2 linked regions of the Arabidopsis thaliana genome follow. The protein of the gene in region 1 interacts with the protein of each later gene in a pairwise test. Each region holds a gene or a part of one and is shown on either strand. Other genes may lie near its edges.

Evidence for each region. The genes of interacting proteins can lie anywhere in the genome.
Region 2: the proteins of BLH3 (region 1) and OFP5 interact in a two-hybrid assay, tested with the Arabidopsis thaliana proteins (one large-scale study listed by BioGRID).

What each region holds. Positions count from the first base shown.
Region 1 is NC_003070.9:28,299,286-28,304,480, forward strand, and holds BLH3 (BEL1-like homeodomain 3), read right to left. Parts: upstream 3,444-5,195; 5' UTR 3,118-3,443; exon of another isoform or gene 2,666-3,117; 5' UTR 2,606-2,665; coding exon 1,868-2,605; intron 1,790-1,867; coding exon 1,413-1,789; intron 1,336-1,412; coding exon 1,275-1,335; coding exon of another isoform or gene 1,236-1,274; exon of another isoform or gene 1,209-1,235; coding exon 810-1,208; 3' UTR 501-809; downstream 1-500. Other genes in the region: AT1G75400 (RING/U-box superfamily protein), read left to right, coding at 1-65, 153-179. UniProt on the Arabidopsis thaliana protein: Transcription factor that is responsive of the nuclear import of SHOOT MERISTEMLESS (STM).
Region 2 is NC_003075.7:10,334,544-10,339,298, reverse strand, and holds OFP5 (ovate family protein 5), read right to left. Parts: upstream 2,734-4,755; 5' UTR 1,851-2,733; coding exon 801-1,850; 3' UTR 625-800; downstream 1-624. Other genes in the region: AT4G18840 (Pentatricopeptide repeat (PPR-like) superfamily protein), read left to right, coding at 1-580; AT4G18823 (Defensin-like (DEFL) family protein), read left to right, coding at 4,017-4,074, 4,222-4,388. UniProt on the Arabidopsis thaliana protein: Transcriptional repressor that regulates multiple aspects of plant growth and development through the regulation of BEL1-LIKE (BLH) and KNOX TALE (KNAT) homeodomain transcription factors. Required for embryo development.

The DNA of each region.
Region 1 (5,195 bases):
ACTCTGCATTGAAGAAGGGATTCTGGTCTAGACATCGAAATAACCGGTCTTCTTCAAGCATAGAGGTAAAGATCCATACACTGAATATTCAATCCTGATTTGCTAGAGAAATGAAACATTCCTGTAAATAACCAATAATACACACATTTCAGGGACTTAATCAGACATCTCCGCTATGATGAAACCCCTCCATCTGGATCAGAGGCATGCGGGTTATTTAGGAAAGCTTTGTATAAAACAGATATTCAGGTTCAGCTATAGCCTTTAGAGCTGTGTTTTAACTTTCTTTTTGGATATTTTGTGTGTTTCATTGTAACCTGTGGGGATAATTTTCAGTAATGAAACAAACTTGTCATTTTAGAAAAGATTTGAGAATTTGCCAACCATTTACAGAGAATGTTTAAAAAGTTGTGTAACGTTTCGTTGTTTACACAAGTTTCAGAGGAACTCAAAATCTGTTCCAATTCTTGTAACAAAATGAGGAAATTAGATCAAATCTTTTTCAGTTTGTTCACACTTAAAAGTATTGTTTATACCATCATGAAGATTATAAACAAAAACATTACAATATCGGCTTACCAAAGTGTACACAAAGCTCAATTTTCATATACAAATGTAAAGTCTAACACCTAAAGTTTTCACAAAATCTATCCTTTATATATGCCACAACAAATATTACAGATATACATATTTGTATAACCCCTATCTATAAAAATGCCAAGAGCGCATTTTCTTGCGCTTCAAGAATCATACTCCCCCAATCAACTGGCATTGCCAGTTCTTAAGCTTGTGAAAAGCTCAGGAATCTTTTAGACAACAAAGTCGTGTAATTGATGGGGATTAGAATATCTGCCATCTTGTTGGTTTCCAAGGCCAACGTAACGATTGTAATCATCAATACCAAACCCATGATAGTTCATCAAGCTGTCGTAATCTCCAGTAGTAGCACGGTCTGGTTTAGGATCTGCAAAGACTAGGTTTTGTTCTGCATCAGATGTATATGGGATGTTGTTGTTGTTGTTTCCCTGATTCTGTTGTTGCGAAGACGAAGAGTCTTCGTGTTTGAGCTGAGATGTTTCCTGCATTTTTTTGGTGTCTTGATTAGAGTTAGAGAGTAACTCTGCTGATTCTCCAAACTCTTCTTTATACATCTCTTCAATCATTGGTTTCCATAGTCGAACTCTCGCGTTAATAAACCAATTTGCAACCTAAATTGCCAAGAATCAGAATACCACTCATATAAAAGCAAGACCAAAGATTGAGCCAATAAGAACCTGGTTTTTCGATAGTCCTGTCTGCTTTGAAAGCATGATTTTCTCTGATTCTTTAGGATATCTACAAAAACGATTGAAATGGTTATCAATGAAGCAATGAGGAGCAGAAAGAAAGTGTCTTACAAACAACAAACTTACGGATGAAGGAAATGCTCAAAGAGCCAAGCTCGAAGTATAGAGACAGAGTTTTCAGGTAAGCCTCTTTGTGGTCTCCAAGCTGGTCTAACCATTCCAAGTTGTTGATGCAAAGCTCTCTGTTGTCTCAACCGTTGATCTAAGTACCTAAGACGCGGTATCCTCTCTCCTTGTTCATCAGAAGTCTCTCTCTCCCCAAGCTTCCCTCTGATCACCTGAATCTGTTCTTTTATCGCGTCGCGTAAACAGCGGAAATGGCGAGAGATTCTATTCAGAGCTACGGATGTGTAAGGCTTAGCTGCTCCAAGACCTGTTACCATCTCGAAAGACGATGCTAAAGCTTCCATTTGATGATGGTATTGGTTATACCTTTTATCTACCTGCAAAAATGTTTTCAAAACTCAAAACTCCAAAGTCTCTCTCTCACTTTAAAGTATTCAAATTTGATTTAGTCTTACCTCATCCACCATTGTTAAAAGCTTGCTCTTCTTGCTCTGTAGCTCCTGACGTTCTGAAGGAGACAACTCCTGCGATTGAGATTTATCATCTTCTGTAATGTTATCACTAGACCCATTGTGAAAGTCTTGACCTTTATCATTCTTCATCTTCTTATTCCCCAATTTCAAATCTTTCCTTACACTAACAACTTCATCAAGCAATTGTTGTGTTGGTTTAAGGTAACGAGATCTCAGTACACTACTCACAAACCCTGATGTCTCGTAACGGTAATTGTTGTAGAATCCAACACCATTATTACCATTGTTGTTGTAAACAGAGGAAGGTAAAATTTGATCAGAGTGATGCTGATGAACACTCAAGCTCTTCCCATTCTCATCAGACATAGTAGAAGGATTAAGATTATTGTAACTCAATTGGTTCGAAAGATTCTGGTAATGATACTGAAACGGAGAAACAGAGACAGCTGACTGGATCTGATTACCAAGACTTAAAGAAAGTCCTCCACCGTGAAAGCTTAGATCGTTACTTGACACCGTTACGTTTCCGTTGACGGCTACGTCGCTTGTTGGTGGGATAAATACCATCTCGTTGTTTCGAACATCACCGGAAACAATCTCGGAGAAAGATGCAGCAGAGGAAGAAGAAGCTTGTTGTTGTTGTTGTTGTTGTTCGTTGAGGTAAATGGATTCTTGGTAAAGAGATTGCATGCCGACACTATTAGGGTAATACACAGCCATTGGATAATAAATCGAAAGTGTTTTGTTGTTTAAGTGAGTTTCATCCGATTGATGTTTTGTCTGAAAAAAGAGAAAGAGAGAGAGAGAGACGTGTGAGTTTGAAACTGAAACTGGATAAATAAAAGAACAATTCTTTAAAGAGGTTAAAACATCTTAATCTCTATATACGCCGCAATTACAGATGAATTCAAGAAATGAAAAAAATATGAAATACTCAATTTAGGTCAAGAAGATATCAAAACCCTAGGTAAAGTTTCCACTTCAATTCAGTGACGCAAACAAAAACAGAGGATGATGTTTGAAATCATGAAAGATATAAAGTTAATTTTTTTTAAGTTCTGATGATTTCATACTTTTGTAAGAATTTAACAGAGACGAAGATGATGATAAAATTCGAAAAAGGAAATCTTTTTGTAAAAAGAGAAACAGAGTACAACAAGTCAATCATATAGCTTTGAATCAAGAAGCTACTAATAAGAACAATCGAATTATTATAGTTAAAGAAATGAAACCTGAGAAAGAGCTAGATGATAAACTATACAAAAGAGAAAGAGAGATTGTGGATGTGGCTGAATCAGGGAACAGAGAGATAAAAAGGGAGAAGAAGAAGAACTTCGAACAGTCGATGACAAAAAGAGAGAGAAAGAAAGAGAAGACACCCAATCCCAAGAGACGATTTTTATTAAATTCCGATACTATTTTAAAACTTTATTTGGCATTCACTAACAAAGAACAGAACCAAACCATCTTATCATTGGAACCTCGACAACAAACCCAGATTTTTTAATTAATGTTTAATAAAATATCAGTGTATCACTAACCTATGGAGAAATTTGACAATCTCTATTCTCTACCAGTAATTCTTTTTTGTTTGTTTTTCTATTCCAACCGAAGCTTCTATATTAAAATTAATAATTTTTTGTTGGTTTTTTTTCTGTGCCAACCATTTAGAGAATAACACGCGTGAGCGGAAATTTTCATATTTTTTTTCCTTTTCTCTGATAGGATTATTGTTAGATAATGGAGAATATTTATACAAATGCGACTTTTTATATGCATTTATATTTCAAGTTATCTGATAAAACAAAAGAATATTATTGGAACCAGAAGGAATACTGTGCAGTGTTGTCATTGACTTGACTTGGTGCTTATATTCAAATAAATATAATTAAAAATAAAGTATGTTTTTTAAAATGAAGAAAAGAGTTGAGTTTTCGTATTCTATGTTTTTATAAAGTTTAATTAATAGCTTGGACATAAATTCAAGCAACCGTTGAAATTTTTTACTATTAAAATTTTCCACCAAAGCTTTGTTAGATTAAATTAACTCAAGCAATCTCAAATTAGTTGTGGTTGTGATGATAAAATCATGGGTTAGTCTGAACCAACAGATGCTTTTATTAATTTCTTTACATAATTGCAGATCCCTGGTTATAAGCGAACGAGAAACATGTGTTACGTGACATGATACTTCATAACTAATCTATGATGTTTTGATGTATAATTGTTAAATTATTATAACGACGGAACTCTCTAAAAAGATTGTGATCAAAATTAAAATTAAACATCTTTTGAGGTCTCCTACTGTTTATACGTTATATACTTGTTTCTTCGCGTAATACATTGGACACACATACTCTTATTAAGTGACGTGCAAAAGAGGAAACTAATTAACTCCATTTTTTCAATATCTTCCTATTATTTACATATTAAAAATAAAGATATAAGTAGAATTGTCAACAAATCAATATATTGAATATAAAGTAATTAAAATTACTAAAGTATCCCTAGGCCTAGAGAATTTTGATTTGCCAGAAATGTTGCTTTGAGGAAGAAGTGTTGTGTCTGCTCAATTGCTTAATTGAGGGATTAAAGGACCTTAACAACCAGTTGGTGACTACCCAATTTCCTTACTTGGAACGAAAAAATCCAATTAGTTGACTAACAAATAAACATATTTTCTTAAATAATCAAGTGATTCATTTGACCTACATGAAGAAAATGTATTTATACGCAAAACAATAAAATGAAAAGAAAAGTTATGATGGGTCGATTCCATGTCCCAAAGGATCTAAGGAGGTTGTGTAATAAATAATAGAAAAAGTAGAATTCGAAAGAAGATGATGAAAAATGAAATAAATAAGGTAGCTGTGTCGGACGCGAAGTTGGTGAAAGTGGCCAAAAACGAAAGACTTGGACGCCAATTTGTTTCGTAGAGACGTTCCTTAACGGAACGAAGCTAACGGCTTTGTGTCCATCTTAATAAATGTTATTCTTATTTCAATTTCTGTATATTTCGTTTATTTCTTTTATTCTTTAATGTTTTTTTTTGTTTTTGGTTGAGTTTCGGTTTTGTCATAGATTGGAACAGCCGACACAAACCTTTCAAGGAGAATCAATGTGTTACAACAAATTCTTTTTTTATGAAATTTTATATATTTATGAGTAGATTATTTGTTTGTTTTTAAATGTACAACTGATAAACCCTACACACAGCTGGTTGAATATGGGAGTATATACAGTGGGAAAGTTTGAAAGGATCAAATATTTTTAACTTTCTAAAATAGGTTAAATGAATGTGGTTTTCTAA
Region 2 (4,755 bases), on another chromosome or scaffold:
GAAAATTGACAAGGCTCTTGAAGTGTTTAGAGCTACTTCAAAGAGAGATGTCAGTACATGGAACTCGATAATCTCGGATTTGAGTGTTCACGGTCTTGGAAAAGATGCTTTAGAGATCTTCTCGGAGATGGTGTATGAAGGTTTTAAACCAAATGGTATCACATTTATTGGTGTTCTGTCGGCCTGTAATCATGTGGGTATGTTAGACCAAGCTCGCAAACTTTTTGAAATGATGAGTAGTGTTTACAGGGTTGAACCTACTATTGAACACTATGGTTGTATGGTGGATTTGCTTGGTCGGATGGGAAAAATTGAGGAAGCAGAAGAACTTGTGAACGAGATTCCAGCAGATGAGGCTTCCATTTTACTAGAATCTCTTCTTGGTGCCTGTAAGAGGTTTGGACAATTGGAACAAGCAGAGCGTATAGCGAATCGGTTACTGGAATTGAATCTACGTGATAGTTCAGGTTATGCTCAGATGTCAAATTTGTATGCCTCAGATGGAAGGTGGGAGAAGGTTATAGACGGTAGAAGAAACATGAGAGCAGAAAGAGTAAACAGAAGCCTGGATGTAGCATGACTGAAGTTGACGGAGTTGTCCATGAGTTCTTAGCTGGTGAAGGACTAAGAATCGACTAAAAATTGGTAATTTCCAGAAACTATATTAATCTTATTCTGTCAATTTTATAGAATTGTTATCAGTTTTAGTATTACCAAGAAGCATGAAGTTACATCGTAGAAAGCTTAAACTATCCACAAATCATACTGATGAATCTATATGTTACTATTCTACACCAAAATTAATGAAAATTAAAATCATTATGCACCTGCTGGAACACACTGATGATCATGTCATGATATTCATCTGTATTGAGTCTGAGATAACAAACCAGAAGCTCTTTGAGTTCTTCTGGATGGTTGATACCATTCTCCATAATCATCTCAATCATTGAATCTCTAAAATCCTTCTGAGGATCACTTGAGCATTTCACTACTGCAAAGCTTTCGTTCTCCATTCCTCCATCTGCTGTTTCTATCAGAAGCTCGTGCTCCCGTGCTCTCTGTTTGGCCTTTTTCAAGTCTTCAATAGCTTTAACTCTGCATTTTTCAGATGCTCTTGGTGAAAAAACTCTAACTTTGTTGTTTTCTTTTGTTCCTATTCTGTTTAGCTCCCTTTTTAGGTACAGAGATTTCCTCTGTTGGTCAGCCTTCAGCTTCACTTCTCTTAGTTTGACTTCCTTGAGCTTTTCCCACTGATGAGCCGGTTTTGTTATGGTATGACCAAGAATCACGGAATCTTCTCTACTGTAACCTCCTGTACCTGTCCTTCTAGCTGGTTTTTTCACCTTGACCCCCGCGTCTTGTTCTGATCTCTTTGGCTTTTGTTCAAGAAGCCTTTGGTCACGTCTCTCACATCTCTGTTTATCTCTGTTCACCTGAATTCTTGGCGTCAGGATCACAGTTCCGTTGTCTCTATCCATTGCCTCCACTTCCAGAAAACCACATGTCTCTTTTTGGAAATCTCTTACTTTCTTCCTCACACTGCTCATTATCTCTTCAAACTTCTCATTCGACTCTTTATCTGCTGATCTTGTTGCAGAGTTCTCCTTTTCTACTGATACTCTTTGAAACCTTTTGCTGTTCTCATGAATATCACTTCGACGTGTAGTAGAACTCAAGGAAGTTTTTACAGATATGTTCTGGCTAGCTTTTTCATCTTGCTTCTTCTCTTTTGCAGGTTTCAAGTCAGAAGAACCACTTAACTTTGAAAACCAAGAAACAGGAAGAGCACGAGACAACCCGGAAGAAGAAGAAGAAGAAACAGGTTTCTTTCTTCCCCATCTCATCATTCCAAGAATCTGAAGAAGTTTTGTGCTTTCTTAGTTTACCGGGTTTCTTAGGCTAGACTATGAAAAGATGTATAAAAAATGAAGGGATATGTATCTAGAGCTTACTGCTGTAATATGGTTAGGTCGTTGTGTTTAATAGGAGGGAGATGAAGATGTTGTCTTAACGGGTAAAAGCTAGTTGTAGTTTGAAAAAAAGAACCAAACCCGCCTGAAGAATCCTGTGACCACTTTTTGCCTAAATAACTTTTTCTTTTATTGGTTCTGTTATCTCTGGGTATGTTCTGGAATTTATACCAAAGTGGGGGACCAATTTTATCAATCAAAAACCAAACTTCATTGATGACAAAGACTTTGGCTCTCTCTCTCCCTTTCTCTTCTTTCGGAGTAACGTGACCAACCCAAGAACCACAAGAATCCTCCCATCTTTTAGTTTTCTAGTAGCTGTCTTAATACCGTAATAACATTGAGTTCTTAGATCATGGAATCTAGTGCCTTTGCAAAGGTTACATGATTACACCCCTAGTCATGTAGCAAAATCTGTACAGAATTAACCTCGAAACCCGAGTTTCATCCAACACAACAACATGATTGGTCCCGGTCCTGGTCTCTATGGTCCTAGACTGAGAGATGTATGTTTTTTTCTTAATCATGAAGAAGGTAAAGTTGATGGATTTAGTGTTATCTCAAAGTTAGAGATTTTTGTGAAGTTTTGAGGAAGAAGTGGTCCTAACTTTAAAAGAACAGCTAAAAATCTCTCCATATGGATATATCACCTACCTTGAGGTATGGTTTGTGTCACCCCCACCAACTTGTTCATGGTTTTTCTTTTTTCTTCTTTATTCTATATAGATGTATAATATTAATACACATTAAAATGGGGATATAGAAGCTTTTTTTAGTGTATTTACATTTGTTTTTTGTGTCACTTATATTGTCAAGACTTTGCATTGAAGCATTCACCAATTTCAGTCCCTTCTACTCTCCAATGTGAAAAGGAATAAAAGAATAATACCCCATCCTGTATTTATTATTTTTTCTCACCCAAAAGATAAATACAAAAAATGTAATTATAATTATCTTTTAAGATTTTTTTTGGAGACTGTCTATTAGTCATATTATCAAATGGGACAAGACGTTATTATATCACTGCTACTTCAAACTTGGTGATAGGGACGATACGGACCCCGTTATGTTTTTATTGATAAAGAAGAGTGCATGATGTAATTATAATTTTATGTAATAATTATTTGAAAACATTATTCTAATTTGTTTGATAGATGAAAACATTATTTTTTTTCATATTTCTTTGATTGGTTTCTTTCAAACTTTTAAGATTTTGAACGACATCAAGTCACCTTTGGACTGTTTTAGTTGACTCGATTTTCGTTTACCATTGTACTCCAATAATATCATTCAGCAATGCATGTTTCCATGAATAACATATCATCATCTTATTGATACTAAAATAGTAGTTCAAGAACAATATTAGGAATATAATCGATGTTACAAAAAAAAAGTGTTTAATATTTACGTTCAATATAATTTAATAACTTTATTAGCAAACAAAAAAAACTCATTCGTAAACAATTCTACAGTTCTTATGTCAAATAACGATACTAATAAAACACTACGTAGAGTGTTAAAAAGATGGCTTATTCAAGATTTGTTTCCTTTGAAATAAATTGGATTAAGAATCTTTCATAATCTTTTTAAATCATGCATGTTTTCAATGAGCCAATCATGCATTACTTATGTTTGTTAACTTTATAAATCTAAGGAAACTAATCATTAAAAATCATTGACTTGCGATCGGATCCATTCAAGTGATTTTCTGATACAAAACGTTGAACTGTTTTGTAGTTTACTGGATTTTTGTTTACATGAATTCAATTGTTTCTACAAATGTACCAATTGTATCATCATCATTGCAAATTGCAATGTTATTTTGAGTACCATATCATTTCCTTGCTGATACTAAGAAAATTGTTGATATGCCTTCAATATAGAATTCAATGCCTACCTTTATTAGCAAGAAAATTAACGGAAAAAAACTTTAGTAGCAAACAATTAAAAACCCTATATATATATCAAACTTAACAAGTCTACATTTCTCATAAGTAATATAATAAACAATAATTATAGAGTTAGTACGTTAGAAAAAAAAAAATGGTCCATCCAAGATTTGTTTTCTTCGCTTTCCTCGCTCTCTCCGTTTTACTTGCAGGTTAGTCTCATTAGATCAACACCGTATTGAGCATTTTTTTTTTTCATTTCGATTACTATTCTTTAAAACCAAAATCTTGAATATGTGGTATATATGATTATACGCATGTATGTCTATGTTATTTTGCAGATATTGAAGCCACAAAAGTGATGAATGAAGATTCAATTTTGTCTTCCAACAAAGGAGATTCATTGTGTTGCAACGATCACCCCGAATTTGGAATATGTACTAATAAAAGTTGTAACAAGTGGTGTCTTCAAGGCTGTACGAGAGGTGGCTTCTGTAAAAGAAAAATTTGTCATTGCTACTGTTAAATTAAAACTATAACTTCATAGTATATTTTCTAGATATTGATCAATGGAAAATAACGATCATTTTATTCACATCTCGATCGAGTTCAAATGTATTCGTTTTTAAATTTGTAAGTTTTGTAGATTCTTTGGCCAAGAATAAGTATAAAATATTTTGTGATGTTGTAATGTTGCTATATGTTGGTGTACCTAACGTACCGTATAGGGCTTTAGAAAATTTGAGCATGGACAAGTAATGCAATTTGCATGCAATGATTTTGTGAGAGGTCAACCTCAACTTATGGAGAAGATTGTCGAAGGCTACCTACAAAGGCTGAAAGATATTCATGCAGCCGATCATTTTCGCAAGCACACGGTTCCGGAACTTCGC